Rattus norvegicus: one gene and its partner. The protein of the gene in region 1 purifies or fractionates together with the protein of each later gene. This does not show direct contact. Links are inferred from orthologs where the notes say so. Each region holds a gene or a part of one and is shown in the gene's direction. Other genes may lie near its edges.

The links. The genes of interacting proteins can lie anywhere in the genome.
Region 2: the proteins of Cdc42bpb (region 1) and Fam167a purify together in Homo sapiens (co-immunoprecipitation; 3 studies listed by BioGRID and IntAct, counting the BioPlex papers as one, with this or other methods). This does not show direct contact. The link is inferred for Rattus norvegicus from reciprocal best matches to the Homo sapiens genes CDC42BPB and FAM167A.

What each region holds. Positions count from the first base shown.
Region 1 is NC_086024.1:136,234,760-136,239,080, reverse strand, and holds the start of Cdc42bpb (serine/threonine-protein kinase MRCK beta), read left to right. Parts: upstream 1-1,510; 5' UTR 1,511-1,598; coding exon 1,599-1,773; intron 1,774-4,321. UniProt on the Homo sapiens protein: Serine/threonine-protein kinase which is an important downstream effector of CDC42 and plays a role in the regulation of cytoskeleton reorganization and cell migration. Regulates actin cytoskeletal reorganization via phosphorylation of PPP1R12C and MYL9/MLC2.
Region 2 is NC_086033.1:41,886,852-41,889,396, forward strand, and holds part of Fam167a (protein FAM167A), read left to right. Parts: intron 1-1,474; coding exon 1,475-1,738; 3' UTR 1,739-2,545.

The sequences.
Region 1 (4,321 bases):
CCGGCCAGAGAAAACACTCATGAGCAAACTTACGGGACAAAGAGGAAGCATGGGGGCTGTCAGGGGGAAAATGCAGTTGTCTGGTCAGACTACTTTGGGTCTTTGTCCTACTAACAGTGCTTAGATTCTAGTTTTGGGTAGGACGATTCTCTTGGGCTTTCATTTTAAGTTTTAAAAACTGGGCATCACATACATGCAGTAACTCGTGAATATACTTTATATCGTATAGATTCCCTCACAATAATAAAGGTCTGACGAAGATTCGCTCTATCCAACCTACTACACTGGGCTATTTTGCCTGCGTTTTGAAAACTAAGCTAGATGCACACGCATATTGACCCGCGTGAATTTTGAAGACAGCGTGGAGGCTTGTATGTGTGCCTCGTATCCCCAATCAAGTCATGCATCATTCCAGGGACTCTTCAGTCGCTTCCTGCGCGTGAGTCGCCATTCGGCCCTCCACCCAGCGTTTTGCCTCAGGCTCCTCTCAGCTTCCGGCTTCCAAACCCCACCTGCCCCTCCTCTACTGCACCACAAGCCCCCATTCTTTTGAAGCAACCTTGGGGTCTACAAAGGGCTCCTCCTCTGCGGAGGCTGGGGGATTGTCGTAAGGGATATTTTTACATCAACCTTCTCAGCCGCCGAATCGAGCAAACGCGGCGACTCGCCTCGAGGCAACAGTCTACTCCCCACCGGGTGGACAGCCTAATAATCAGTCAGGAGGTAGAATCTGCACAGACGAGGCAGGGCACTGCGCATTCCCAGTGGCGCTTGCCTAGTGGGGAGCGCGCGTCCAGCGGATCCCGGAGCCTCTCGGCAGGTGCCCCACCCGCGTCTCCTGTGCGCACTCGGGCACAGGGCACTGTCCGTCCACATCTCGGACAAGCTCAACCGAAACCCAGCAGCGATGCTCTCGAGGCCGCTCGGCCACGAGGGTCGGTCCGGAGGCCCGAGAACAGAGCCGAACTATGGGACCTAGGGCACACACAGCCTGGCTAGCCGCCCCGCCCGCGCTCCTATGCGCGTGCGCCACCCGCAATCTCGGTTTCGCACTGGGCACCCCGCCCCACACCGTTCCTACGGCGAATCGCGAGGCCCAAAGAGCGGCGGATCGTTGCGGGCCGAGGGCGGGGCGTCGCGTTGAGGTCAGCGCGGCGGCGGTCGGCCCCGCGGTGGTTGGCTGCGCCGCGCTGGCCGCGCCCTGGTTGGCTTGCAGGTCGCGGGCTGGGCGGCCGGCCGGGCTGAGGTCAGGCTCGGGCGCCGGCCGGGTTTGCGCGGTGCTGGGCTCCGCCACGGTCCGGGTCGGTGACGGAGCGCGGGAGGGCGCGGCCAGGCGCTGAGGGCGGGGACGGCGTGCGGGCGTGCGGGCGGCGCCTAGGGGAGGAGACCGGCCCATGGACCCGCGGGGCCCGGTGCCCCAGACTCGGTGCCGCCGGGACGGAGCCCAAGATGTCGGCCTAGGCCGGGCTGCGACGACAAGGACTGCGCGGCTACTGGACGCCGGGGTGCACGGCCGCTGGGCCGGGGAGTGCTGGCTCTGACGCCGGGGCGCACGGGCAGCGAGAGGCCGGCGCGTGGGGAGCGGGCCGCGCGGCACCATGTCGGCCAAGGTGCGGCTCAAGAAGCTGGAGCAGCTGCTCCTGGACGGGCCGTGGCGCAATGAGAGCTCCCTGAGCGTGGAGACGCTGCTGGACGTGCTGGTGTGCCTTTACACCGAGTGCAGCCACTCGGCGCTGCGCCGCGACAAGTATGTGGCGGAGTTCCTCGAGTGGGGTGAGTAAGGTGCCGCTCGCCCCCCTGCGCCTCTTACTCCTCGGACCCGCGCCGGGCCTCCCTGGTCCTGCGCTCCGGAGCCACATCCTCCGTTCGCACTCCCCCCCACTCCCGGCCATCGCCCTGGCCGCTTCCTAGACCCACCCTCCGAGTCTGGATATCATTTCCTGCAGCGCTCCCTGGGATATCCGCCCTGCCCCCGCCCCGGACTAGCCTTTGGGGTCCAGAGTCGGGCCTGGAGCTACCCCTCCCAGCCCTAGGCTCTGCCGGGTGGGAGGGCAGCCCCTGTGTCTTTTGCATCTCCTCACCCTCCGCCCTTGCTCGGTGGGCCTTCCGAATGCATCGTCCCACAGCCCAGCCCCTAGGGCTCCACCCAGGTGACAGCCTGTCCACCTCCCCTTGATGTCCAGGGCCTGAATATCCCTTTCTTTTAGCACCTCCAAGCGAATTTTAAATGTTAAAGGCTTTATTTCAAATACACTAGGCCAAAGCCCACCCCACCCCAACTACCGAATTGTAATCGTGTCAGACTCGTAATAATTCGGGCTGTGTGTGTTGGGGTCGGGGGGGGGCAGTTAGAACTGTCACTTAAAAACTTCTACCTCTGATCTTGGGTATTCGGTTCATTTAGGGATCTAATGCAGTATCCATAGGTCGGACACCCTTTTGCGCTTTAGTGGTACAAATGCTTGATTGGAGTCATTCATTGACAGTTCCCAAGACAGGTCAGAGTGTAAGGTTTCAACCAATCCTAACAGTAACTCCGCTTGAGACCCTCAGTTCCCTCACAAGGACTAAGTAAGAGGAAGTGTGGGTTAGGTTCAGGTCCAGCTCTGTAAATCTTGCCCTTGGTTGCTTTCGTCATTGGGTTAAGGCCGTGCAGTTTGAACCAGTCATCTCTAATCTTTGGTACAGATAAAGTTGATGTTTACACGAGGAAATAAAATGTGTTCGACACGGAGGCCTGCTCCTCCCCCATTGCCGACTGGAATCTAGAACTGTGTGTGAGACTTGGACATGGCTCATCTCTGGAGGGCTTCTGCCTGGTTGCTGTTCAGTGAGATGTTGCCGCAGATGCTGGGAGCAGGAGGTCATGGGGGCTTTGTTGTGAGGGCCCCTGCTCTTGGTCACATAGATGAGAGAGGACTGGCTTTCCGGAGGCTATCGGTGACACGATTTACACTTGGACAGTGGCTTCAGGGTTGCTTTGAAAGTGAGGTCTTAAGTGCACTCTGCAATCTGAGACTCCTCAATATTGGATTTGCCAATCTTAGCGCTGGCCCTGGAGATCTAGGCAGTTCCACCTTCAGCTGGCGCCCTGTGTGTGAGTGATGCAGCAGGCAGTGGGGCCGTCAGAGCAGGGGAGTTGCAGAGAGAAGGAAGGGCCATTTCCCTCAGGAGGTATGGTCCAGGCGTCTTCTGGTCTAGGACCTGGGGAGCACCAGGACTGGATGTGCAGAAGGCTGGGTGCTCTCCCTGGGAGGGCGTTCTGCTCTGCTCTGCATGTGGAGAGGGCAGGTTTTGTAATATTTGACCTTTCTGAATCTAAACAGAAGCTGCGTGCTATAGTGTATACAGAGCTTTAAAATTGTCTTTTGGCTCTTGGAAATTGTGATTACAAATAAATTACCCTTGGGGTTGGGGATTTAGCTCAGTGGTAGAGCGCTTGCTATAGAGCGCTTGCCTAGCAAGTGCAAGGCCCTGGGTTCGGTCCCCAGCTCCGAAAAAAAAAAAAAAAAGAAAAACTCACAAATAAATTACCCTCTTAGCCCAGTTCCTACTATCAGCTTCTAATTAAGAGCAAACCAGCTGTGGTGGCGCGCACACACCTGTAATCCCAGCATTTGGGAGGCAGAGACAGGAGGCTAAGGTTAGCCTCAGCTACATTATTGAGTTTGAAGACAGCGTGGGCTATCTGAGAGTGTCCCTGAACAACACAAACCAAATATTAGAACAGAACATTCTTAAACACAAGATAGAATGTTAGTGAAATCGTACCATAGTTTAGACTGCCAGGTACTCTTCCATATGTTCCTGTGTGCCCTGTTGTAACCTTGAAGTGGGGTGTTACCAGCAAAGGCACTTGCAGTCACTGTGTGTTTGGTGACAGGACAAAGAGTGGTCCTCCTAGTAAGACCACTCCAGAGCACTGACCTAACTTCACTCTGCCTGCTTAGAAGTCTCTGAGAGCCAATTTGTCCCACCACACAGGTCCTGGCCAGTCTTTAGTGACCAGCAGGTAGGTTCTTGGATCTTAGGAAGGGGAACAATCAGCTCAGCTGTGAGGAAACTTAAGGGAAATCTTTGAGAAATCTGGAAAACAAAAGTAATAAAAAGTTTCTAAGGTGTAAAGGTGGCTCCTGGCTCCCGCAGCCGCCTGCCCACCCACCCGCGGTGTTTGTGTTGGGTGCCTCACTGCAGGGCGGTCCTCACCTTGCCTCTGATGATGTTTGTCATTCGACGGGTTTCCTCCATGAAGTTCCGGACTGTGATTAAAAGTTGGAAATGCTGTGCCTTTGTGTGTGTGTGTGTGTGTGTGTGTGTGTGT
Region 2 (2,545 bases), on another chromosome or scaffold:
GGGACCTGGTAGGCCACAGAGCTGAGTCTGAGGACACACAAGTATTGAAACAATAGCCACTTGCTGGCGTGGGCAGAGTAAATGGCAGGAGGGACTGGGTCTCAGGTCAAGTAGGAACAGCTGGTGGCCTGTCAGTGACAAAGCTTGGTTAATGGGAAACTGGCTGCCTGCGAAGCCTAGCGAGACCACAGTTGCCTTCCTTCTCTGCCAAGTCACAGCTGGGTGACTGGCTGAGGGACACCTTGAAGCCTTCTGAGTTCCAGTATCCTGACTTGCAAAATATAGACCTTCACAGCAGGTACCTTGGGGAGACTGTGAGGTACCACAGGGTTTGATGGATTTTGAAAAGTACTGCTGAGAGCTGCTCGCAGTGCATCCCTTTCTTAATAGGAAACAGAGGTGCTGAAAATATCAGAAACCCTCTCCAGGGTGCCCCCGGCATTGGTCAGCTCTATCTCCTAGACGCCCTCTCCCTAAGGGGCAGAACTGGGTTGTCGGTCTCGTGAGCTCCCATCCTAGCTTTACCACCAAGGGCCTTTTGATAGTTGACTTTAACGTCCCCATCTGTGACTTGTGACATAGTAAGAATTTCACTTCATAGGCTATCGTGAGGATTAGCTCTAGTGTGTTAGCTTTGTCTGGTTCATAGTAAAACAGCGAATAAATACCAGCTCACTTTTTGATTGGCTCTTAGGAACCTTTGTTTTAAGAAAATGTGTATTGGTAACATCTGATGAAAGAAAAAAATAGCAGACTGCAGAGGGAGGGAGAGCCACACCTCTTTAAGAACATGACCACTGGTACTATCCCATGCCCCAGTAGATGGCCCCAAACCCATTTGTATATGGGCAGGACTAACTGGAGTCAGCGTTTCTGTTTTTGTTTTAGTTTTTGAGGACATGGATTTTGTAAGAGTGGGCGGGTACTAGGGCAAGCTGGAGGAAGGTGGTAGTAAATGGATATGATCAAGATACATTATAAAATGTATGAACTTTCAAATAATTAATAGAACATGTTATGGCAGCCCACATACATGACCTAACTGGCACTGTCACGGTAGAAAGCCCCCTTTGTCCAGCCCATACATCCCCCTTCCCACCCAGAAGCTATGTCACCAAATCTGGTGTCTATTACTCTTGAAGTCTCCTCCATCTGAATATCCCCCTTGGACACCAAAGAGTGAGAGTGGATGGAAAGCAGCTCTAAGCCAGGACTGGCACAGAGCGAGATTTAGACATAGCTGCTAGCCTGGCACAAAGCTTCATCGGGCAACAACGCCCTCCCACTCCACTGCAGTCAGTGTCCTTTCACCTCTCTGGGCCAGGATGTGTGCCTGCTGCCAGATGGATCCGTCAGTGATCCATGACGTCAGTTAGGATTCCTATTAATGAGTGTCCTCAGCAGAGTTTACATACAGAGCTACGTGTGCTTGCCAGGCACTCTGCTGACTGGAGTCTGTCCTCTCCCGTTCCAGGCAGAGATGCGGCTCCAGGACCAGCAGCTGGCCAGGCAGCTCATGCGCCTCCGAGGAGACATCAACAAAATGAAGATCGAGCAGACCTGCCGCCTGCACAGGAGGATGCTCAATGATGCTGCCTTTGAGCTGGAGGAGCGGGACGAGCTGTCCGACCTCTTCTGCGACTCCCCGCTGGCAGCCTCCTTCAGCCTTTCCACCCCGCTCAAGCTCATTGGCGTCACCAAAATGAACATCAACTCCAGAAGGTTCTCTCTCTGCTGAGAAGCCTTGGGATGGAATGGGAACCAGAGTCAAGGGGGAAAGAGAGAGGGGGCTCAGACCAAGTTACCCAAAGTGGGTCTCCCTGAGGCCATGCTGGGGAGGGAAAGGCACCAGGACCTGGTGGTAGTATGCCAGGGGCTTCAGCTTTCTATACCTGGGTCTTCGTGTTCCAGACCCAAAGAGTCACAGACACTACGTAAGACAGGGCTCTCAGCAGGATCCCTGTGGCCTTCCCCTCTGTGGCCTCTTTCCTGTGTCCTAGAATCACTGGTGCTATGATGTCGAATCCCATAGGGGACACTCCTCCCATACCCCTGCCAAAGCTTGTTCTTATAGAAAACTCTACTCTAGGGGAGCTGAGATTATTAGATTATGTAAATTATTCCCATCTCTCATGTTCTGTTACCACCTTCTTAGTGCTAGCTCTAATTGCCCCTAAGTAGGAGACTCGGCAGAGATGTGGTAGGACAGGAAAACTTAAAGGAATAACAAGGTGACACGTGGGAAAGCAGGCTTCTCTTCCATGGCTGCCAGCATCCCTGGGAAGGAACTCTGCCCAGCTACTTTGAACTTCAGCCCTGACACCACAAGGCCATGTTATTTCCAGCTTGCTCCATGACATATGACACATGTACTTTGTAGAGCTTTGGTAGAGCGACCCAGATGTCCTACTGTTTTCCGGCACAATCACTTCAGTTACTTCACTGCCACCCATAACCCTGGAGAATACCTAGCAGGCCACTGGCCACTGGTGGCTAAACTAGGCAAGGTAGGATATAGATTCCCACAAGTGAACCTACAGTAGGG